Arabidopsis thaliana: one gene and its partners. The protein of the gene in region 2 interacts with the protein of the main gene of each other region in a pairwise test. Each region holds a gene or a part of one and is shown on either strand. Other genes may lie near its edges. The genes, in order: QKY, SUB and AT5G16220.

What was found.
Region 1: the proteins of SUB (region 2) and QKY interact in a two-hybrid assay, tested with the Arabidopsis thaliana proteins (2 studies listed by BioGRID, with this or other methods).
Region 3: the proteins of SUB (region 2) and AT5G16220 interact in a two-hybrid assay, tested with the Arabidopsis thaliana proteins (one study listed by BioGRID).

Annotation. Positions count from the first base shown.
Region 1 is NC_003070.9:28,072,248-28,080,751, forward strand, and holds QKY (C2 calcium/lipid-binding plant phosphoribosyltransferase family protein), read left to right. Parts: upstream 1-2,679; 5' UTR 2,680-2,925; coding exon 2,926-6,171; 3' UTR 6,172-6,584; downstream 6,585-8,504. Other genes in the region: EDS16 (ADC synthase superfamily protein), read left to right, coding at 1-16, 109-183, 266-334, 447-565, 652-709, 806-916, 1,009-1,093, 1,185-1,282 and 1 more; AT1G74730 (transmembrane protein, putative (DUF1118)), read left to right, coding at 6,748-6,900, 7,141-7,584; CPK30 (calcium-dependent protein kinase 30), read right to left, coding at 7,952-8,125, 8,230-8,460. UniProt on the Arabidopsis thaliana protein: May be involved in Ca 2(+)-dependent signaling and membrane trafficking. Plays a role in fruit dehiscence. Components of the machinery involved in organ development mediated by the receptor-like kinase STRUBBELIG (SUB).
Region 2 is NC_003070.9:3,719,448-3,729,080, forward strand, and holds SUB (Leucine-rich repeat protein kinase family protein), read left to right. Parts: upstream 1-3,260; 5' UTR 3,261-3,687; coding exon 3,688-3,778; intron 3,779-4,121; exon of another isoform or gene 4,122-4,155; coding exon 4,156-4,285; intron 4,286-4,382; coding exon 4,383-4,454; intron 4,455-4,619; coding exon 4,620-4,685; intron 4,686-4,776; coding exon 4,777-4,848; intron 4,849-4,931; coding exon 4,932-5,003; intron 5,004-5,082; coding exon 5,083-5,154; intron 5,155-5,228; coding exon 5,229-5,294; intron 5,295-5,391; coding exon 5,392-5,457; intron 5,458-5,540; coding exon 5,541-6,034; intron 6,035-6,130; coding exon 6,131-6,489; intron 6,490-6,579; coding exon 6,580-6,851; intron 6,852-6,924; coding exon 6,925-7,063; intron 7,064-7,146; coding exon 7,147-7,262; intron 7,263-7,398; coding exon 7,399-7,555; intron 7,556-7,668; coding exon 7,669-7,731; 3' UTR 7,732-8,003; downstream 8,004-9,633. Other genes in the region: AT1G11125 (uncharacterized protein), read left to right, coding at 1-196; AT1G11145 (hypothetical protein (DUF674)), read right to left, coding at 8,085-8,189, 8,265-8,597, 8,669-8,719. UniProt on the Arabidopsis thaliana protein: Regulates the expression of transcription factors that define the cell fates.
Region 3 is NC_003076.8:5,296,278-5,303,335, reverse strand, and holds AT5G16220 (Octicosapeptide/Phox/Bem1p family protein), read left to right. Parts: upstream 1-2,693; 5' UTR 2,694-2,756; coding exon 2,757-3,574; intron 3,575-4,119; coding exon 4,120-4,732; 3' UTR 4,733-5,224; downstream 5,225-7,058. Other genes in the region: AT5G16210 (HEAT repeat-containing protein), read left to right, coding at 5,557-5,755, 6,274-6,426, 6,828-7,006. UniProt on the Arabidopsis thaliana protein: Collaboratively with SUB and QKY, regulates cell growth anisotropy during gynoecium development, thus linking together cell-cell communication and cellular growth.

The DNA of each region.
Region 1 (8,504 bases), about 24 Mb from region 2:
TTCACCCCTTAACAAGGTAGTTTAGACTTTAGAGATTGTGTTCGTATCTATTCTTAAAACAAGTTTATAGGTTTCGTTTTAACTGATGTTTTTGGCTCGTGGAATTAGGTTGTTCTTGCTCGTAACAGCAGGATAATTACGGATACCGACATTGATCCCATTGCTTGGCTAGCACAGTTACAGGTGTGTTTTTATCTCTGGATATTATATAGTAGTCAGTTTTCAATGTTTAGATTTATATCTCACTAATTTTTTTGTGTGACAGCGTGAAGGGCATGATGCATATCAGTTCTGTCTTCAACCACCTGGTGCACCAGCTTTTATCGGAAACACGGTAGGTCTTTTTATATGTAGTCTGTGATAATAAGTTCTGTTGATAAAGATATGTGCACATTTGTTATTTATTTCTAAGAAATATGTTTGTGACATACATCTTTGTGAAACAGCCTGAGAGACTATTCCAAAGGACTCAATTAGGTGTCTGCAGTGAAGCTTTGGCTGCAACTAGGCCTAGAGCTGCTTCTAGTGCTCGTGATATGGAGATAGAGCGTGACTTACTAACCAGGTCAATTTTTACTTCAAGTGCTTTGAACAATTACAGAATCCAGTTCTCCATTATCATTTTACTGAATTTTTGCTAAACTGTTGCAGTCCGAAAGACGACCTCGAGTTCTCTATCGTACGAGAGAATATAAGAGAAAAGTTAAACGTAAGTTCAATCTTGATGCTCTGCAGCTTCAATGCTTCATTTCTTGGATAATAGTTTGGTATATTTTTTCTTATTATGCTTTCTTCTGCTTTGCAGGGTATATGTGACAGAGTTGTTGTCAAGCCTCAAAAAACTGTGAGGAAGCTTGCAAGAGTGCAACATCTATATTCTCAATTGGCAGGGAGACTTACGAAGGAAGATGATGAGGTGAGATAATAGTATTGGAATAGTTTTTACATTTCCAAGCTCTTCATTTCTTCGAATTAGCTTTAACCCTTTTTCTTTCTATCTGTCTATAGTATAAAATATTGGCTGCTCTGCATCCAACTCCAGCTGTTTGTGGGCTTCCAGCAGAAGAAGCAAGGCTTTTGATTAAGGAGATAGGTAAAATATCTACCTTGGTTCAACTATCTTCTAGTAACTATAGATGTAGAGATTAAGAATTATGCTGACTCAAACATTTTGCTTCTTCTAGAATCATTCGATAGAGGAATGTATGCGGGACCTATTGGATTTTTTGGTGGCGAGGAGAGTGAATTTGCAGTCGGGATCAGATCAGCTCTAGTCGAAAAGGTGAGCTTATTTGATCTCTTTCTCCCTTTAAAAAACACACTTTAACACTAATTGTTATAGCAAAATCGATCATTACGGTTTTTGCTACAACTTGTAAAAAAATGCTGAACTGTATTTTGATTTACAGGGTCTTGGGGCATTGATCTATGCGGGGACAGGGATAGTAGCTGGAAGTGACCCATCTTCAGAGTGGAATGAGCTTGATCTTAAGATATCTCAGGTACGAGCTTTTGTCCAGAAAATGTTTAGTGACATCATGGTTCTCTGTTACCAAAATCCTAATTTTTATTCTCTCTTTTGTTGTTGTTTTTGCAGTTCACCAAGTCAATTGAATATGAAGCAACAACATCTCTACAGGCGATTAATTGAAGAAAGAGTAACATTTGTATTTGATTGTTTTGTTTGTATGGGGGATAAGGGGTTCTCACAATAAGAAAGCAATGTTGTCTCTCTTGTAAATTAAAAAAGAAATGCTTTAATTTGTTAATGGGCCGAGCCTTTTCGGGTTGTAACTAGGGCAGGCCTATCATGAATGTTCATAGGCCTAGCTGTTATGATTGTTAATGAGCTTCTATAGTGTTTTTCTTCAAAGACAGATATATTCAATATGGATCTAAAACTGAACTGAATTTAACTGACATGACAATCGAATCAAATTGAATTTATTTTTTCAATTTTCATTTAGCAAGAAGTGACCCATCTTCAGAGTGAAGTAATCTATGCTTATTATCTCGATTAAGCAAAAATCCGTAGAATGCTTGGGCCTTTCAACGATGATGTAGCCGTGTAGGACAGGTTTACGGAATCTGCTTTTATGCAAATGGTAAATATTAATATTCCTTTATAAGTTAGCGTTTCAGATCATCTTCTTTCGTTAGATTAAGAAACTACTTTGTTATTATATAACTATAAATACCATCCAACAACCTTACTCGCCATATCTTTTCATGTGTGGTGGTTTATAGGAACATTGAAAAGTACCATATTATAAAATGAAGAATCAACACGTCAACAAAAACACAAATAAAATGAGATAGTACAATTAAAAAAATGGAGCGCATGTAAAAAGTGAAGAATCAAACGAAGGCTTGGCGATAGAGAATGGAATCAGATTTCCCATTATCCCCACTCTAACACCATATATTCCTTTCCCTTTTTACCCTCCACCTCAATTAGGTTTATTAATCATATTTAACACTCTAATTAACCAACCCATTTCATCTCTTTTATTTTACTAATCACAATGCTTTGGCCTCATTACGTTTTACCTAGATTTACTTTGTCACAAACTACACAAATATGAACCTAATTATCTACACTCGTGTCAGAAACAGTTTTAGCTAATATTTAGTAAGTTTTAATTAAAACTAATGAAATGAATAAATAGTGTATAGTACATAGGATTTGTTTTTAGTTTATTAATGGAAATTAAGATTTCATTAGTACTAAAAACATGTAAATAAAATAAAGCTTTAAAGAGGAATATATTCAAATAAAAAAAGCAAGACCTCGAAAAAAAAACTTTCTATTATCTCTCTTCCGCGATTACCGTAATCTCTGTCACAAACAACAAAACCTTCTCTCTCTCACTATCTTAATGAGAGAAGAAGACATTCTCGAGAAATGAGAAGACTACCACTACGATGAACACGACGCCGTTTCACTCGGATCCTCCGCCGTCGAGGATCCAGCGTAAGCTCGTTGTCGAAGTTGTTGAAGCTCGTAATATTCTCCCTAAAGATGGTCAAGGAAGCTCTAGCGCTTACGTCGTTGTCGATTTCGATGCTCAGAAGAAACGAACCTCCACTAAGTTCCGTGACCTAAACCCTATTTGGAACGAGATGCTTGATTTCGCCGTCTCCGATCCCAAAAACATGGATTACGACGAGCTCGATATCGAGGTTTATAACGATAAAAGATTTGGTAACGGAGGTGGCCGGAAGAATCATTTTCTCGGTAGGGTTAAGATCTATGGAAGCCAGTTCTCGCGAAGAGGTGAAGAAGGTCTTGTGTATTTCCCTTTGGAGAAGAAGAGTGTGTTCAGCTGGATTCGCGGCGAGATTGGACTCAAAATCTACTATTACGACGAAGCCGCCGACGAAGACACGGCGGGTGGAGGTGGAGGACAGCAACAACAACAGCAACAGCAACAATTTCATCCGCCGCAACAAGAAGCCGATGAACAACAACACCAGCAACAATTTCATCCTCCGCCGCAGCAGATGATGAATATACCACCGGAGAAACCTAATGTAGTTGTGGTTGAAGAAGGTAGGGTTTTCGAATCGGCTCAGAGTCAGCGCTATACAGAGACACATCAGCAACCTCCGGTGGTTATTGTTGAAGAATCACCACCGCAGCATGTAATGCAAGGTCCAAATGATAACCATCCTCACCGAAATGATAACCATCCTCAACGGCCACCGTCTCCGCCGCCACCTCCATCGGCTGGGGAAGTACATTATTATCCACCGGAAGTGAGGAAGATGCAAGTAGGAAGACCTCCCGGCGGAGATAGAATTAGGGTTACGAAGAGACCACCGAATGGAGATTATTCACCTAGGGTTATCAATAGCAAAACTGGAGGAGGAGAGACGACGATGGAGAAGAAGACTCATCATCCTTACAATCTTGTTGAGCCAATGCAGTATCTCTTCGTTCGGATTGTGAAGGCGCGTGGCTTACCACCTAACGAGAGCGCGTATGTTAAGGTACGGACGTCGAACCATTTCGTCAGGTCTAAACCGGCCGTTAACCGGCCCGGCGAATCGGTTGATTCACCGGAGTGGAATCAGGTTTTTGCTCTTGGTCATAACCGGTCTGATTCCGCTGTAACTGGTGCGACTCTTGAGATCTCTGCTTGGGATGCTTCGTCGGAGAGTTTTCTCGGAGGAGTTTGTTTTGATCTCTCTGAGGTTCCGGTTCGTGACCCGCCGGATAGTCCGCTTGCTCCTCAGTGGTATCGGCTCGAAGGCTCCGGCGCGGATCAGAACTCTGGGAGAATTTCCGGTGACATTCAGCTCTCTGTTTGGATTGGTACTCAGGTAGATGAGGCATTTCCGGAGGCTTGGAGCTCTGATGCTCCGCATGTAGCTCACACGCGTTCTAAGGTGTATCAATCGCCGAAACTTTGGTACTTGAGAGTGACGGTTCTTGAGGCACAGGATTTACACATAGCTCCTAATCTCCCGCCGTTGACTGCGCCTGAGATTCGTGTGAAAGCTCAATTAGGGTTTCAGTCGGCGCGTACAAGAAGAGGCTCAATGAATAACCACAGTGGTTCGTTTCATTGGCATGAGGATATGATCTTTGTTGCTGGAGAGCCGTTGGAAGATTGCTTGGTTCTGATGGTGGAAGACCGGACGACTAAAGAAGCAACACTTCTAGGACATGCCATGATCCCAGTGAGCTCCATCGAGCAGCGAATTGATGAGCGTTTTGTGCCGTCGAAATGGCACACTCTGGAAGGAGAAGGTGGAGGTGGAGGTGGAGGAGGAGGACCTGGAGGTGGTGGTGGTGGTGGACCTTATTGTGGAAGGATTAGCCTTAGACTTTGTCTCGAAGGTGGGTATCATGTGCTTGAAGAGGCGGCGCATGTATGCAGCGATTTCCGTCCGACGGCTAAGCAGCTATGGAAACCGCCGATTGGAATACTTGAGTTGGGGATTCTTGGAGCTCGTGGGTTGTTGCCGATGAAGGCGAAAAACGGAGGGAAAGGTTCCACTGATGCTTATTGTGTTGCTAAGTACGGGAAGAAATGGGTCAGGACTCGAACCATAACAGACAGTTTTGACCCGAGGTGGCACGAGCAGTATACGTGGCAGGTTTATGATCCTTGCACCGTGCTAACTGTTGGAGTCTTCGACAATTGGAGGATGTTCTCTGACGCCTCCGATGATAGACCTGACACACGGATTGGGAAGATACGGATCCGGGTGTCGACGTTAGAGAGCAACAAAGTGTACACCAATTCATATCCTCTGTTGGTTTTGTTACCTAGCGGTATGAAAAAAATGGGTGAAATTGAAGTGGCAGTCCGGTTTGCATGCCCGTCTCTGCTGCCTGATGTTTGTGCAGCTTATGGACAGCCGCTTCTGCCTCGGATGCACTACATAAGGCCTCTAGGTGTAGCACAACAAGATGCATTAAGAGGGGCCGCCACGAAAATGGTAGCAGCTTGGCTGGCTCGAGCAGAACCACCATTGGGACCAGAGGTAGTTCGATATATGTTAGATGCAGATTCGCATGCATGGAGCATGAGGAAAAGCAAAGCGAATTGGTACAGAATTGTTGGTGTTTTAGCTTGGGCAGTGGGTTTAGCTAAGTGGTTGGATAATATCAGGCGGTGGAGGAATCCAGTGACGACGGTGCTAGTCCATATTCTATATCTGGTTCTTGTTTGGTACCCTGATTTGGTAGTCCCGACTGCATTCTTGTACGTGGTGATGATCGGAGTTTGGTACTACCGGTTTAGACCCAAGATACCGGCTGGTATGGATATCCGCTTATCACAAGCTGAAACCGTCGATCCTGATGAGCTAGATGAAGAATTCGACACCATACCAAGCTCAAGGCGACCAGAAGTAATCCGAGCTAGGTACGACCGATTAAGGATCTTAGCAGTGAGGGTTCAGACCATTCTAGGAGATTTTGCAGCGCAAGGAGAACGGATTCAAGCGTTGGTTAGCTGGAGAGATCCGAGAGCGACAAAGCTGTTCATAGCAATCTGTTTGGTAATCACAATAGTTCTGTATGCAGTTCCTGCGAAAATGGTGGCGGTGGCTCTAGGGTTTTATTATCTTCGGCATCCGATGTTCCGAGACACAATGCCTACGGCTAGTCTCAATTTTTTCCGGCGGTTGCCAAGCTTGTCCGATCGACTCATCTAAGGAGAGAAAGATGTCAAGATAGTAAATGTTAGGTGTTTTTGAGTATCCAACAGTTTCTTGGGCTGAGGAGGAAATAGAATAAAAAGATTCATTATGGGTTAAGAATTTTATCATATTATTATGATTCTTCATTTTATTATTCAGATTCTGTCGGAAACTATAATCAGATGGCATGAGCTTTGAGACCTGTAATATTTTGAAGGAAACGAGAGAGATTTCAGATTTGAGAGGTGAAAAAGGAAGCAAAACTTGTCAGTAAAGTTTTTTGACCACAGATTTGCTTTTGGTATCTCTGTAGTTTTCTCTGTAATCTAAAATGATTTACTAATTCCTCATTTAACTTATTTTGTTTACGCCTAAACTATTACATGTAAACATTGTCTGATTATATAAATTCTAAGTGAAAAACCGGAGATAAAGCGCTAACGAAAATGATTGGTTGAAATCACAAAGACATCATCTGACGTGGCAGTTTCTCTGTCTATCAGAGTTTCAGATAGTGTGCCAACGGCGAAACAAGACACGAAAGAATCTCTAAAGAAATCATTTTCATCGCTTCGCTTCGATTTTTCTTCAATGGCTGTCGTCGGCGCTCCAATATCGTCTCCGGCGGCTCAGCTGCAGACACAATTTCTCTCCAATCCCATTCTCCCCCGCTTTCGCCGGTCTTTCTCCACCGGAAAATCACCAGCAACTTTCTCCGTCGTAGCTATGGCTCCCCAGAAAAAGGTAACTAACTCTCTTAATCATCTCCTTTGTTTAAGTTCTGAGATCTTTTGCACTTTCATCAATCACTTCATAAAGTATAAATCTTTTTTGATTCTCAAGATAATCTTTAGAAACATGAATAAGCAGTACATTTTAGTAATGGAACAAAGACATTGAAGTCTCTGTATATAGTATTGTTGCAGAGTTTTATATATACTTTTTAATTTGTGTAATTGTGATCACTGAATCGGGTAACAAAAGGTGAACAAATATGATGCCAAGTGGAAGAAACAATGGTACGGAGCTGGATTGTTTTTCGAAGGGAGTGAGCAAATAAACGTTGATGTTTTCAAGAAGCTGGAGAAGCGAAAAGTGTTGAGCAACGTTGAGAAATCTGGCCTGCTGTCAAAAGCAGAGGGGTTGGGACTCACATTGTCATCTCTTGAGAAGCTTAAAGTCTTCTCCAAAGCAGAGGACCTTGGTCTTCTCAGTCTCCTTGAGAACTTAGCTGGAACATCGCCTGCGGTCTTAGCCTCGGCTGCATTACCAGCTCTCACGGCTGCTATTGTAGCCGTGGTGTTGATCCCGGATGACTCAACTACTCTAGTGGTTGCTCAGGCGGTTTTGGCCGGTGCTCTTGCGCTTACAGGGGTTGTTTTGTTGGTTGGTTCTGTTGTTTTGGATGGACTTCAAGAAGCTGACTGATTCTTTCTCTGTAAACCGAACATAAACCCATGTCTTGTCCAATTGATTTTTGTCAGTTGCTGATTTATAGCTGTATGGTTCAGTTGTTTATGGTTAGTCCAAGACATAAGCTGAGTGATAGAAAGAAGCTTTATAATAATTAAACAAATATTACATACACATTCATTCATTCTCCAGTGAAAAGCCTAACTACGCCCACAAATTACAAATTTCCAACTTCCCCAAAACCAAAAAAAAGAATCTCTAGAAACAAAGTGAAGTAAGCCAAAATCACATCTGAAAAAAGCCCAGAAAAAAACCCTTCATGAACGTGTAAGAAAAGCAGCCATCAGATTGCTTCTGTTTTGGTGATAAACAAGTGTAAAGATCAAACTGCAATAGATTGTCCAGTGAGTGCGTCGTGTAGATGCATTGACCCGTCTTTCATCAAGTTTAAGCTTAAGCTTTTAAACCTCTCTCTTGAGTATTGTCTTGATGCCTTTCTCCAATCAGTTCCAGCTTTCATCATCACCACAAACTCATCATAGTTTATTTTTCCGTCCTGCAAAATCAAACATTATGACTCCTCTTAAGTATTTAATAAACTTTCTATAGGAAGAGTCTTTATAGCGAGAAAGGAGCTGATGTATAGAGCTTTAGAAAAACCTTGTCAGTGTCGACTTCACGCATTATATCGATTATAACACTGTTGTCTGGTTCACCTAACTCGTCGGTTAAAGCTTCACGTAGTTCTTCTGATTCGATGTATCCACTTCCATCTTTGTCAAAGAACATAAAAGCTTGTCTGAAATGCTCATCATTCTCCATCTTCTGCAAGTGAATTATCACTGCTACAAACTCTCCATAGTCCAAGCATCCATTTCCATTAACATCCGCCTGCATCAAAATCATGAATGTAAGTACCAGAGAAGATAAACATC
Region 2 (9,633 bases):
GAGTACAGACAGTTGTGGAGCAATGAGGAGACAAAGCCAGTCTCCGGGTCGGGTCAGACTCAATCCGAATATGAACGGGTCGGATCAAGAGTGTAATCATCACAAGTGGCCGGGTTCTATTGGAAATTACAATTCTGCCCCTAACGACTCGTTTGAGAACCCTCTTGTTTCATTAGAGTGTTTCATCTTCCTATGAGATAATGTATCTTATTACCGAATTATCGCCGGAATTTACAATTTCGAAGTTATTTGATCTTAATCAGTTTTCACATGCTTCGCCAGTTCAGAATCTGTTTGGTTGTGGATTTTGAAAAATACTAAAATGTTTTTCTGTTTTTGATTATAAAAAATGAGAAATTAAATTGTATGATGTGTGAGTAGGGTGGCAAAAGATTTGCTTCCGTGACACCAATTATTATATATTTTCTGACAGTCAAAATCAGACGCAAGCAAAGTCACGTAACTTTGACCCCAAAAAGAAAGTTACCATCATACACTAAATTCAATTCACTATGATCGTCCGAACCAACAAATTTCAAATAATGTATCATGAATATTTGAGTCTTCATCTTTTATACTCAAATAGGCTAAACTTATTAGTAATTTATTTATTGTATTATCGTCTAGAACTAATCCACGATTTGAATATGCTGTGTGACTTATAAAATCAAAGAAAATACTTAGTTAACATAAGTGTATTGGTTTAGTTTTTTCCTATATTAATAAACCAATACTCTTCTTTATTTCAATCAAAATGTAGTTCTTTTTTTTTTTTTACATCAAAATGTAGTTCATTTATAATTGGTTTAAGACTTGATTCATAGTGTAAAAACAAAATAGTTATTTAGTTTTACATGAACCATTAGTAGGTTCTAGTTTGTGTATAAAATAGTTTATTTGTTCTACAGCCTTACTTAACTATCTTAGTTTATATTCAATCGTGTAAAACAAAACTGGGATCCTTCCTTTTTGGTTACCATAGGTATGGAAGTAAAAGTATTTAGGTGTTGTTTAAAAAGTACAAAAATTCGATTTTGTGGTTTGTCTATTAGTAAATCATTCAAACGTTTTTTCTTTTTTTTTGATAGCAATTTTATTATTATTCTTTTTACTTTTATAGGCTCATCTTTTGGAGAGAGCATTGTAAAGATTATGCTTTTCTTAACGCTTTCTTGTTTGTCCTTTTGCACCCCACATCACACGTTAACTAATTTATTGGATGAATGTTGAATAATTTCCGCCGAGAGAAAAAAAAACAGGCTTCAATAGTTCTGTATCATACTTCAAACTAATTTAGAAAGTTTGAGTGTATCATACTTGTGTATATTGGAAAATGAAAATGGAACGAGACAATTCAATAGTTCTGATCAATTTAATATTTTCAAAACGATCAAGTGCATAACAGCAAATTGTATCCAAGTATCGTCTAACAAATTCTTTTAAGTTCTTTTTTTGACTTTTCATAATCTATAGAACTTTTTCTTTGAAGCTTCTTGATGTAAAATGGTAGGGCGGAAAAAGCTAGGGTGATGTAAAACCAAAACTTGAACCAAAATTCGTGTAGATACGTAACTAGATTTGATTTAAATAAATAAAACATTCGTTATGTGCCTTGGATCCTCTGGCTAACGGGTGACCATAAAGTAGTGTTGCATTCTTTAATTTTGTTTCGCCTTTTGCGTAATGAGAGACCATATTATAAAATAAAGCCTAACTTTACAATATCTGTATTTTTTCCTCGACACTCTTTTTTAAGAGACCAATAGTTTGAATTCATTATCATGCATCTTCCAATCTCATAACTAATTTGGTATGCATGTATAAGTGCTACAATCATTATTATATGGGGTTTCTGATTTTTTGAAGTACAAGAATCAAAATGAATCCAACCTGATTGGTGTAGTTTTGGGTCGAGTTCGGTCGAAACAAAAATTTGATTCGGTATTATTTATTTGATTTTGGTTCGGTTTATTATGGTTGGCACTTGGCATATTGGTTTTGAAAAAAAAAAATGTTATCATGTACGATTTTTTTTGGGTGCAAAAAAGCATCATGTACGATAGTTTTCTACTTTTCTTCAAAGATTGAAAGTAACCGTTGCAATCTCATTGCATTATTAGGCCTACGAGAGGTATCTTCTTTCAAGTGGGCTTTACCATTACACTATTGACCAAGTTTGGGCCACATTTGGTTTGAATAGCCCATAAGAATGTGGTTTTTTTTTTTTAACTAGTCGCAACTTATTATCGTGTATGGTGTGAACTTGATTGATTTTGACAAGCCAAAAAAATCGATTGATAATTAATTGATCTCGACAAAATAAAAATCTAATATCAACACATAAGCTCACCAAGCATGTTTTATTCTTTATTGATCATACAATGTATGTTTGCTGTTATTATTCGGGTTGCAAATAATTTATGTGAATATCAGAACTTCAGAAGTAACTCCTACCAAAAAAGGAACTTGAGAAGTAATCACATATGAATATCGAAGTTACTCTCATCTCAAATTATGCAATGATGGCATTCCATTAAATTACTACTATTGAATTGTACACAAATCCTCCATCACATCAACCAACAAACAAAGAATAATACAAATTAAGAATATATTCCAAAGAAATTGATAAATAGTGATTGTTAGTTGTAACTGTAAACACAAAACCAGAATTCTTAATTATTAATAGAAAAACAAAGGTTTCGAATGGTAACCAAAATGCACCGTGCAATCATACATATAACATTAGTTAGTTATTTTTAGAATATATTGAAAAGATAATTATTGTATAATTACTAAGTATATTCAATTTAAAGTCGTAAGAAAAAACCCTTTATTGGCTCTAATTGTTTAAAAACATATATTAGGATTCACTAAGATGTATAATTGAAATCAATTTCCAAACCATGTAAAAGTACTAGTTTTCTCAAATAGTTTGTTGCTATTAGTTTGTTACTAAAACTAATTCACACATTTTTATCACCAAAAGAGCAAAAATGGACGTGGGATGAATATGATGATATTTTTTTTGACCTTGTTGTAGGGTCTCTCACTCTCTTCTTCCATTAAAGAATTCTCAGAGCTTTTCTTACTTCAACTGTTTTCTTGGCCCATCTCACTGAAATAAGTGTGATAAACTCTGCCTGTTACATTATTTGGATTTTAATAGGTGAAGTAACGGAATATGTAATCTACATCAAAATAATATTCACTTCTATCTCTCTACCTTATGGCATTAGAAAAATCCAATTATTACATGAAAGGAAACTATAGTAATTAGATGAAGCATAGAAGCGACAATTAAAAGACATAAAGAGAGACAAGTCTTGGCAAGTTTTCTCTGTTTCACACTTTGGAGACGAAACCTTAAAGGCTTAAAACTGAGAAAAACAAAGCCGTTGGCTTTTGTAAGCCGCTCGTTCTTCGAGACAAAACACACTACACTCTTTCTCTCTCACTCACTCTTCATCTCTTTTCTTCTTTCTCTCTCTCCTAAAAATCCGACGAAATTATGATTCACTTTACCTTTTAATCAGGAATATCCCTGTTTCACCCTTCTTCTTCTTCTTCTTCTTCTTCTTCCTCGTGTTTTTTTTCCATAACATTCCCTCTGAATCTTCGTTTTTTATTGGAAAGAAACAATCTAATCCAAGTTCAAGGGTTTTCTCATCTTCAGTGGCTGAAGTTATGAGCTTTACAAGATGGGAAGTGTTCTTTGGTCTCTCTGTTTTAGCCTTGACAATGCCTTTCTCAGCTGGAGTTACTAATCTACGAGATGGTAATAATCTTTCTCTGCAAAGTTTTTTTTATTTGGATTTTGCTTTGACTCTCCTTCTTTTGGTTTAGTGAACACTCTAGATTTTTTTTAGACTTGTGTCTAGTGAAAATGACTTACATCAGTTTTAGGGTAAACTAGGTAAGCAATATAGCTGTTTGGGAAGCTCCAGATTGGCAAAGTTCTATGATTTTGAGGCTACCTCAAAAACCCTAAAAAGTTTAGGTTTTTGACACATAAGCTCTTGTTAGGGTTTTAGTTCAAGACCAAGAAATTTGTTCTTATTGTTCTTCATTAAATGGTTATCATAAGAAAGATTCTTTAATCTCTAGAAATTTTACTTTTTGATGTGTTTGTCTGTTGTTTAATAACTTCTGCAGTTTCGGCGATTAATAACTTGTATATCACTTTGGGAGCACCATCTCTACATCATTGGCTTGCTTTTGGAGGAGACCCTTGTGGAGAAAAGTGGCAAGGTGTGGTGTGTGACTCCTCAAACATCACAGAAATGTATACTTCCTCTTCTGCTCTTGTAACTCTTTGTTATGGTTTGCTTTGAGTCACCAATTCAGGTTCTAACCACGTGAATTATTGTTGTTGGCTGCAGAAGGATACCTGGCATGAAGGTAGGTGGAGGCTTAAGTGATACTCTGGCTGATTTTTCATCTATCCAAGTCATGTAAGCAAAGCTTCTTGTCTTGTTTTCTTTCATCTTCATCTTTTGTATGAGGCTTCTTGCTATGTGAAGAACATGCAAGATGTTGTTACCATTGACTATAAGGTTTGGTTATAATCTTGAATTGCTTTGTGATACTTTTTCTCTCTTCTTTGTTTGAGTGGACAGGGACTTCAGTAGCAATCATATTTCAGGGACAATTCCGCAGGCTTTGCCTTCTTCCATCCGAAACCTGTGCGTTTGAGAATTGACTATGTGTATGGCAATACTTATGTTTCCAACAGTTAAAAGACACTTCATGTTTGGTTTCATTTTCTTGTTTCAGATCTCTCTCAAGCAATCGCTTCACTGGGAACATTCCCTTTACATTGTCCTTTCTATCCGATTTGTCTGAACTGTAAGTCTTTATTAATGTAGATACCGTTTCTTGCATCTGCGGTTTTTCCTCTGTTTGAAGCAGACTCTTTCTTTTCCCTTCAGGTCATTGGGAAGCAATCTTCTATCAGGAGAGATACCAGATTACTTTCAGCAGCTATCAAAACTGACAAAACTGTATATTTCCTCCTCACTAAGTCTCATTTTGTATCCTCCCATCAGCGTCTTTCATTTATACATTAAGTTTCTAATGCAGGGACTTATCGTCTAACATACTGGAGGGGCATTTACCTTCTTCCATGGGAGACTTAGCTTCTCTTAAGATATTGTAAGTGCACATATATGAAACCGTATACAAACATTGTTATCATTGCTTTTATATGTGATGTGGTCGGACTGTAGGTATTTGCAGGACAACAAGCTCACAGGAACACTTGATGTTATAGAGGATCTTTTCTTAACCGATTTGTAATCGTTTTTCACCTTGCATACTCTTTGTTCTTGACTCTCCAACCATTAAGCCAACTTCAGTATCTCACTATGGCTTTTCATATTTTTGATTCAGGAATGTAGAAAACAACTTATTCTCGGGACCTATACCGCCAAATCTATTGAAAATTCCAAACTTCAAGTAAGTATTACTAAAAGAAAACTTGAATGTTTTTTTTTTCCTTTTCTTTAGCCATTCATGTTACATTGTCATTATAACCGCAGAAAAGATGGAACTCCGTTCAATACATCGATTATAACACCACCGCCTCCGCCTGTGGTTGATCCTCCTCCCGCTACTCACCGTGCTCCTCCTGTTCCCCGTATCCCTCCTGTTTCTGGTGTTCCCCCAGCACCTTTTGCTCCTTTTGCTCCACTGCAACCACAACAACATCCACCACCATCACCACCTCTGGTCTGGTCACCACCTTCTTCTGATAATGGAGGAGGAGATCCCTGGAACTCTGTGTCAGGGCAACCTACCTTGCAAATATCACCTCCTTCAGGTTCAGGATCAGGAAAATTCTGGTCCACTCAAAGAATCATTCTAGTAGTTTCTTCAGTGGCCATAATTGTTCTTGTATCCGGTTTGTGTGTTACACTTTGGAGATGTTGCAGAAGTAAAATATATAACCGATATTACAGTGGAGCTCGTAAAGATTTACAACGACCATACTTCAATAAGCCTCCATCTCAACCAACCCCCACTATGGGAAAAGGTACACTGATTCTTTTCCTTCCAAGAAAAGAAAAGAAACTTGTGCTTTGGCTCATTACCTAACGGCAAACTGCTGTGGTGTTTTCTTTTGTTGCAGTTTCTCGGGAGCCTATGGTTAAGCCTTTCGATGGATATGGAGCTGGAGACAGGAAATATGGGTATCCAATGCCACAGCGGGCTGAAGAGAGCCGGAGAGCAATGCCTCCTACTTCATATTATAATAAGGATGTTAATACACCTCAAAAGCCGCTGCAACAACCACCGAGGCAGTTCCAGTCCAATGATACTGCTTCAAAGAGAGCGGCTCATTTCCCCCCGGGCTTGAATTCCTCATCTTCTGCTACTGTTTTCACCATTGCTTCACTTCAGCAATACACAAATAATTTCTCAGAAGAGAATATAATCGGGGAAGGGTCGATTGGTAATGTCTACAGAGCTGAGCTTCGTCATGGAAAGGTGTGACACTTTCCTCTTATTTGTCATTTGGTCTTACAGTATTTTATGCTGTGCATTCTTATTTACGTCTTGACACGTTGTGATCTATAGTTTCTTGCGGTGAAGAAGCTGAGCAATACCATCAACAGAACACAGAGTGACGGCGAATTCCTCAATCTAGTCTCCAATGTGTTGAAGCTTAAACGCGGTCATATATTGGAGCTTCTTGGTTACTGTAACGAGTTTGGTCAAAGGTTACTTGTGTATGAGTACTGTCCTAATGGATCACTTCAAGATGCACTACATTTGGATCGCAAGTTGCACAAGAAGCTCACTTGGAATGTACGTATAAATATTGCATTAGGAGCTTCAAAGGCATTGCAGTAAGTTAAAGAACCTCAACATGTTACGCCAATCTATATTTGGAACATATAGGATCTTAGAGTTTGGTTTCAGGTTTCTTCATGAGGTATGTCAACCGCCGGTTGTTCACCAGAATTTCAAGTCTTCCAAGGTTCTTCTTGATGGAAAGCTCTCAGTACGTGTTGCAGACAGCGGTTTGGCTTATATGTTACCACCACGCCCAACGAGTCAGGTAAATTTGTCATCTTATTTTGAAGATCCCAAACATAAGAGTGAGTGTTGTAAAGGATATGATGTTTGCTTATAAAATTGTAGATGGCGGGTTATGCCGCTCCTGAGGTTGAGTATGGAAGCTACACTTGTCAGAGCGACGTATTTAGCCTTGGGGTTGTAATGTTAGAACTGCTCACTGGACGCAGACCATTTGACAGGTTAGCTACTCTAAAGAGACAACTAATAGAAGCCATAAAAGAGTCTGAACTCAAAAGTCAACATGTTCACTTATGTTTCTTATGCAAAATCACTGTACTACACTATCTCAAGACAAAACCCTGTTTTTTTTTGCAGGACAAGGCCGAGGGGACATCAAACACTAGCTCAGTGGGCGATTCCTCGGCTTCATGACATCGATGCGTTGACAAGAATGGTTGATCCGTCATTACACGGAGCGTATCCAATGAAATCATTGTCACGTTTTGCAGATATCATATCACGTTCACTGCAGGTAAACTTAACTTCATTCATCACTTAACTAGATGAGAAAGCAATGTCAAACACGTGACATCAGAATATTAACTAACCCTTTTGACTTCTGTGCATGCTTATCTTTGTCTGTAGATGGAACCAGGATTTAGACCGCCGATATCAGAAATAGTCCAAGATCTTCAACATATGATCTAAGATACACAACCTTGGACTAAGACGCAGAAGCAATAGTTTATTGTCAGATTCTTGTTCTTTGTCCTTTGATGAATGAAAGTATTTCTTTTGTATTATAATAACACTTTATGTATGTTGTTGGCTGTATGAAATGAGCTATGGGATCATCATTATGTAACCCCAATCCCATTACCGGCTCAAACATTATTCACCAACCTGATCATGTATTTAGATTCTATTTTCTGAAAAGGATAAACATTTTTTGAATCAAAAGACATTAAAATTCAAGAACAAAAGGTTGTACTTAACAGTAGTGTAAAAGAGAAGGTAACTTGTTCAACTAGCACTGTAGACAACAAAACCTAAACTTCAAATCAATCTGCTCCACAGAGGGCATGTGATTGATGCTTTAGAGTCGTTTCTCTGAAAGAAAGCTCCCGAAAGCCGTAGTCAAGGCAGTGGATGTCACGAATGAGGCTCTTAGTAAACCTATGGCCTGGATTAGTGTCAGATTCAAAAAAAAATATCAGGAAAGAATAGTAATATAGATATACATGTGTTTTGCCAATGTTGATTTCATGCTCAAAAATATCGTCCAAGTTCACATCAAACTTCTTCTTTACGCAAATAGTAAGATCATCTGAGACAATGTATGTTGCCCCTCTCTTAACTAACCCATTGCTACCATGAGGTGTCGACTGAGAACTACCGTCACTGTTTAAATAACTGACCCCAAGCAACGGTTTCTGCAAACTATATTGCCAAGGAAGCATACATGTGTTAGTAGATGCATCTGTGCCTCCCCTAGAGCTCAAGTCCTTCAAGCTTCTACAAAAGTTGCCAATGCATACTAGGTCGATATTGCTTCCAGTGATTTCCCATACAGACTCCAAAGGGATAGCAAGGAAAATGAAAAGTAGATCCACAAAAAGTCGTGTCCGCTTTCAGCGTCAAGAACCTTCATGTCCTGCTTCCTAGCAAACAGAGTGAGTCCCTGCTTCACCTCCATCTTGCGCGGGTAGCTTTGGCATGTCATGCCAACGTGTCATACCACAAGAGCTATGCTTCTTCATCATCATCAAATTGTGGAATCTCTGATCTATTTATGCCATTACGTTTTCGCACTCTCCGATCTATTTATGAAATTTTTGAATCCAGGTTCTATCTCTGCTTCATTGCTTGCTCTCTTCGGAAACTCCTTTCACTGATGTCTTTTTGAAATTGGGCCATCTAATTTTTTTGCATATAGGATGATCACTACTTGCCATAATTGCTCAAATGGCTATAGAAAATGTAAATTCTTACTGATGGAAAAATATAAACGAGAATTAAATGAGGGATCTAGAGAATTATGGGGGTGTTAAAATAGCAAATCTAATATTATTTAATTATAAATTTTAAAAGGTCTAATAAAATCTAATAAAATCTAGTGTTATTGAAAGCTTGAAAATCTACTCAAAATTTTCATGTCCTTGAAAACTTAAGGATTAGATTTTTAATGATTGTAAGAGATTTTTAAATCTTATGGCTTTAGGTGGCATTGTGGTTTTGAATGGTTTCCTTAAATCCACCCAAAATCATAAAAACATAGAAAAACTCAATTTACCTCAAATCACTCAAAATATAAGATTGAATACACCCCCTTAAATGCTTGATTTTGTTCCTTTTATCCCTTTGAGATATAAATATTTGCTCAGCAGAGAGAGATAGAGGCAATACTATTATTGATGGAGGAGGCAGAGAATCGAGTGGTGATTGCATCATCAACACAAAGAAAGAGAAAGAGAAGAAAGATAAGAAGAATAATAAAAAGAAAAGGTTAGATCAAAAATCAGCTCATGGACTGCAAGAGCACTATCGTACGCAGGCCGCCTTACTCTCATCAAATCAGTACTTGTAAGTATCACCAACTTCTGGATATCT
Region 3 (7,058 bases), on a different chromosome or scaffold from region 2:
TCTCTCTTGTACTTGTTGCTGTGCGTTACAAGGAGGAATATGTCTCTATATATATACAAGAAGAGTTGACTTGAGTTGGAGTGTTCTCTCCTCTCATTGATTATTTACGTCTGTGATTAATTATACTAATCCCTTAAGCTAACCATGGACATTTGTTAAGTTTTAGGTTATTTGTCATTAATTCGTTTTTTTTTTTGAACGATTCATCTAATATTCCGAATTATTACTCCCGTAGAAAAAGCCATTTATCTATGGAGAAATAGATAACTCCCGCATAAAAAGCTAGTTGTCTGTGGAAAAAATATGTACTTACACAACATTTGTTGTTTTTTTTTTTTGGTAAGGTACACAACATTTGTTGTTTGTTAAAGAGTACGTGTACTTGAACAACATTAATTATAAATCTCCGTGTAATAAATACATGAAAAACCTCCCCTTATTATCAATTTACCATTATCGGTATTTACGAGTTAAAGGTAGTCATTTAATTAATCAGTCGTGATTCTAAAATACAAACCTTCTTGGGCGTTTCCAAATTGTTGTTGTGTTACTTTTTAAAGAAAGTATATTTCTTAGAATATCTCATTAATTATATGCGGATTTTAATCCAATTCACGATGTTTAAGTCTTATTGATTTTAAGTAATATCTTCATTGGCTGTCAAGTCAAAAATTCTATGAGAATTTTCAAAAAATAACTAAAATGATGGTGAGTACTATTCAAGAAAAAAGAAAGAAATGTACATATAAAACGAAAGACCATGGAAATCTGTTCAGAGTTAGAAAATAAGACTTTTTCAAAAAGAAAGAAATAAGACAACAAAATTGGAGACGTAAATACTAATTAGTTATTTTCCTTCACAAGAATCGCAATGTTATAAAGTAAACAGAATAGGATAGATCCTAATTACTCATAAACAGCAAAGGAATAAAGTCACGGTCGATCACCAAATATCAAAACTAATCAACGTTATTGACCGCTATATAGTATATATCTCTCAAATTTCGTCACTTGATATTATTTCTTCTATTCTACTAAGAACCAACTAGGTAATACTATCACAAGATTTCTTGCACTTGAAAATCGAATCGGGAGAGAAAGGTATTTTAGATTAATTTCCATGACATTCTGTTATCTTAAACACTATTGATCATGTTAACATAAAAACAATTTTGGTCTTCTTTTTAGGTAACTGATGATTTTTAGTGTTACGTTAATTATGATTCTCTGACGTACGTTATATTATCTTTGGTCCTCTAACGTATAAGCGTTACATATTTTTTCTTTTCTTTTTCCAACTATACTTTAACCAGAAACCTACTCCAATCCAATCAAGACTTCAAGAGGGTATGTGTCTACGAAAGAAATTTCAAAAGAAATAAGTATATTAGTATAGAAAACGCTAAAGTGAAAGTATCTGAAACGTTTACTGAAGAAAAATTCGAATCTTTGGTTTCCAATATTGTGATGAATCTTTTAATCATAGGTTTTGAAAACTAGTTTGGAATTTGTCAAAATATACTGGTTATAGAAAAAACGTTGAAGTATACAATATTGCTTTTATCTTCCCATACGTAACTTCTGTTTCCGGGATCATAATGAAAATTATGAAGAAAAAAAAATCATGAGTATCCTAAACGTGCATAAGCTAAATGAATTCCGCAATATGATTTTTACAATTAAACTTTTGTTATTTTTTTCAATTAGCTTTGTTTGGGTAAAAAGTAACTAAGTAAGTATTAATGTTTATTTTCATTATAAAAACAGTAACTCAGAGATTTGAACATACAGTTTCGTCGGTTTTGGGGCATAAAACACAAATAAAAAGAAGCTTGGTTTTGATCTTACTTCGGTAAATGTATTTATGGATGATACCTCAAATCGATCCACGTTATATAGAATGAGCCAAACGAGTATCTTATTAACCAAATTTGTTTTTTTTTTCTCATATCAGCAAACGGCATTATTACGATTTACGAGTGTTGATTTTATTAACCAAACCGAACCAAACAAACTTAATTTCATCCAACACGAACCCAACTCAGCACAGACCGTTCGCTTTTAAGCTTTTGTTCAATCCAAACCGAATCAATATTCTAACCTGTTCATTTAGACAACTAATTAAATAAATATGATAATCTCTAATTAGTAAGTTAGTGAGAAAGAAGAAGTTAGTATTGATACTTTAGTATCATTTTTTTTTATTGTTATTATAAATATTAAATTTAGTACCACTAACCCTGAAAAAATTCATGAGATTTCTATTTCTGAATAATTTAGTTTTTACATCTTCTTATCACTCGCAAATTTCTAATCGAATTCTTACCGTAACACCTAAACCGAATATAACCGAAATAAATATAAAGTCCACCTCAAATCAGCACTATATATCAAACCAAAATTGTATCAAATCTATAATACACTAAAGAAACAACAATGATTGAACTAATTAACATTTCTCGACACTGAAGAAACTAAAAAATCGAATAAAGCAGAATTACTCTACCGGGTTAAACCCGGTCTGGATTATCATTCACCCGACCCGGTTCTAAACCCGTTTTAAAAGTAACGCGCTCGGGAATATCAGTACATGGGCCCAAATTACTATGCTGATACATTCAGTTAATGATAACGTTACCGTCACAGTAAAGCTAAACAACTTCGATTCGATTAAAAAAAAACTCGCCGCTTATAAACGGCGTCTGCCCAAAAAAGTAGGAAACTCAGAAGTAAAAAAAAACCAAAATCGCACCTCCATGACCACCGTCTCCTCCGCTTTCGCCACCGTAGCGGAAGGCGCGAAGGTTGTCACACCGAGATGGAAGAAGAATGAAAGAAATGGAAAGTTACGGGTGATGTGTAGGTATGGCGGTAGTATAGTTTCACCTCCGCAGACGAAATCGCCGCGTTATGTAGGCGGAGATACTCGAATCGTCGCCATTCCTTCTTCCGCGGAAACGAGCTTCGCTTCTCTTGTTAGCCACCTTACGGTTACGCTCAAAATCTCTTATCCTTTCAAAGTTAAATATCAGCTTCCTGATCAGGAACTAGATTCGCTTATCTCCGTCGAGGCGGATGAGGATGTTCAGATCATGATGGAAGAACACGGTTATCTCTCCTCCGAGTCCTCGATTCCCCAATCGCGTATCCGATTGTTTCTTTTCCCATTGAAATCACAACAATCGAATGAAGCTGGTGCGAGTCAGGGAGATTCGGATCAGTGTAAAGTGGAGACCGATATCGATTGGCTTGGAATCGAAGAGTCTAATAAGCCTATTCGTGAAGAATTGACTCAGCCGGTACTTCAGCACCCTAAGACGGAGATGTGGTTCGTAGACGCTTTGAAGAGCGTGGAGATGATGCAGACTAGACGAACTAATAGCGGAACTAGCGGAAGTGGAGATGGTAACGGCGGGATTTGTGGACAGGAGTCGATGATGCTAGAGACTAATTCATCCTTTGGCTCGACATCATCCTCGGTTTCGTCGAGCAATTTACCTCCGATAAAAAGCTCCGGCGAGGACAACATAGCGAACTCGCAAGTCAAATTTGCGCCAATAGAATCAGTGACAAGGTATTCTTCTATGCTCTTAACTGTTTGATTTCACCATTTGATTGCTTTATCGAATAGTTTTAGGTGTAAGCGTTCTAAAACTTATGTACACAATTTGTTGTCTAGGAAATGCAATGTGCTATGAGTTTTTGAATTGTTTAGCCAGTGACACAAATGAATTTGGTAGTGTTGCAGAACGAGTTTAAATGTGGTAATATATAAGCTATCTCTTGAAGTAATGATTGGAAACAGAAACTGAATTCTTGGAATGATCCTGTAGTCGAATTAGGTTCTCGTCTTCATGTATATGATCTGTGAATGAGTTCATAGGCTTAGGCAATCAGGAGTTTGTCTCGTTTGCCATTGTGTTATGGTAATTCTCAATTCGGATCAATGTGCTCCGAGTCTCGGGGATATGTTGTTCCTCATTTGGTATTCAGCTACGAATGTAATCTTCGAATTATATGTATTGGTAGAGAAGGTGCCAATCCTCTAAACCTTGTTTAGTTGGAAAGCCTTTTTGTAACTGTTAACCATTTTTCCTTTTGTTCTTACTCTACGAACAGCAACGACAATTCTGCAGTCACCCCAATACCTTCCCACGAGCTACCATCACACTCACATGCTTTTGAGAACAAACCGTCTTCAAACTTGTATGTGGCTGAGCTAAACAGACCAGTTCCAGTCCCAATTTCCGGGTATCCACCATTTATGAACCAAGCTCAACAACAACATATCCAAGTCATTTACACTGGACAACCTTACATTACCGGAAACTCACCTATGACATTGCCTGCCACAGCATACCATCACACAAACCACGTCTATTATCAGCGTCCGCCACAACCATACCCAATCTATTACATTCCAGTCGAGCAGTACAGTTCGAGGCACGTTCAAGCACTGCCTGTGAAACCGAGCACCGTTTTAAACTATCACCAAGTTGATTCCCCGGTGGTCCGCACCAGCAGCCCTCTAGCGCCAGAGTTTTCCTCACAGGTTTATCCTCTATCCAAACCCGTTGATTCATCGGTACAGACATCAAGTGAAGCTACTCTTAATACTACTTCAAGAGATGCTTTCATCTATAATACCGATGTCGATGACGACAACGATATAGCTCATGCTCAAATTTACAAATCTCAGCCTCCAGCTCCCACATTACCGTCTCAGTATTAAACCATTATGGTAACCGAAGCTTTCAGTCAGGTACAGACACACTATGCTTGAGAGATCTAAGAATCCCATCCATTCTCATGTTGCTGCACTTTCAGGTATTTGGCTTTACAATTTTGTTTTGGTTCCCATACATATTATACAATATACATGCTTCTGCTTTTCGTCTCTTTCATTCAAGTGATCCTTGTTTCACCTTCTTTACTCACTCTTGTTGTAATAACACGAAGAAGTTTACGGTTTTTTCATCTTTCTAGAAACATTTTATAAAGAAATTTATGATATTGGAGTACTATTTTTGTTGTCCTTGTGATTGGTGAGAATTCATTGATGTCATAAGATGAACATATTTTGATGATTGTATTGGTTAATCTGCGGAATAATTATGCTTATCTTATATGTTTTACCAGCAATCGCCCAATTAGCAAAAAGACTAAACACTTTTGTAAGTTTAAAATTTTCTTATTTTTGCAAGGAAAAGTTGACTTTTCTCTCTCAATATGGCCTAAGCAAACACGTGACACAAACGACGTTGCCATAATCTTGTGATGTGAACCGTACACGTGTCTTATAGCTTACTGTTTACACAATCTGGTTCAACTAATCCACGATGTACCATTACATTGTCGCACGTGATCTCTACCGTCACTCGCTTCCGGAGAGATTCATCGGCGAGAACACCGACACGATCTGGTGAATCGAATCCGATCGAATCGAGAGAGGAAAAGTTTGAATTTTCATTTGGAATGCTCAGTGATATTGGAACGAAGGAGGTGTTTCCTCTGATTGGATTTTAGTGTTCCCGTGAAAGAAGAAGAAAACAAAACATGGACGCGGAGCGATCGTCGTTGTGCAACTTTTTCGTCAACTTCCTGATGGAGGAGAACTACCTCTTGACGGCGTTTGAGCTTCTTCACGAGCTCCTCGACGATGGCCGCGATGCCCAAGCAATTCGTCTTAAGGAGTTCTTTTCCGATCCTTCCCGTTTCCCTCCTGATCAGATTTCTCGGTATAATTCAATTCGAGGTTCGCCAATTTTCCGCATTCTGCCTCACATTGTTATTTTGTTTGCTACCGAAATTGTCAGCTAAATCGTCCCTCTCAGTGTGGTTGAGCTGCGTTACATTTTAGTGATCTTTTTGGGGATCTGTTGTATGATGTGAATAAATTAGCTATCTTATTTGGTCTTTCTTAATTCAGAAAGCAGTTGAATAGTGTTCAGGTTGGATCATGGACATGTTTTAAAAGTTATGAAAAGCACAGTAGTTCATAAAATGATGGAGAATCCTGAAAATGGTGGAGTCATGTTTTTGTTCTTCATGCATTTGATGTTCTTCTCATAGTCTAAGTTTGAAAAGCAATCATAATTGAAGGTTTCTTGAATGGTGATTGTTCAGCTTGTTAAATGGGGTATACTATTATGACCAAGAACAAACCCATGTCGGATCTTGTGTCGCATTCTGAGGTTTTTGATTCTATAGTGTCAGGCTTTCTTAGACAACTTGGTTTGTAGCGTAGCTAGTAATTGTTACCCTACAATGCAGTTGCGGATCCACAAAGTTTGTTGGAGGAGAAAGAAGCTTTAGCTGAGAAGTTAGCTATCAGCGAATATGAATTTCGTCTAGCTCAGGAGGATATTGCAAGATTGAAAACTGAAGGACAGAAGAAATCTGTTCCTTCGATTGACAAGTCAGAAGGTAATCCATTACTGAAATATTTATTCTGATCTTTAGCGTCTCGTAGTTAATCTTCTACTTAGATAAACGTGTATATATAAACACTCAGTTCGGGTTTTGTGGCATGAAGTCGGTTATTAGGGTTTCAGAAACTTCAGTGATGATCTTAGTCTGAAGTGCAGACTCTTCAATGTATTAGAATTTTTCTCTGCAATAAGTAGTTGTTAGTCTAAGTTTCCAGTTCCTGTACGCCAGCCATCTCCTCTTTTCTTTCATTTTTCTCCATGGAGATATTTTCTGCTTAGGTATGAAAGCATCATTTATAATGCATATGAGTTTTATTCTTTGTTATTTTCATCAGTGCCAGCATGGTAGCAACCTAATCACCAAACTATGTCCTGATAGTGTTTGTTATTTCTCAGAGATGGATTCGGATGAGTTTGGAGGCAACAGGCCAGAGATTCAACGGAAAAAGAAAGATTTTTCCTTCACTGATATAGGGCCTTTGAAGAACAATGAACGTCAAGACTTAAACTGTGCAGTGAAAGAATATCTTCTTCTAGCAGGTTATAGGCTTACGGCTATGACATTTTATGAGGAGGTATCTTAATTTTATGTCTATATGTTTACCGTTTTTTGTGCATAGTTTACAA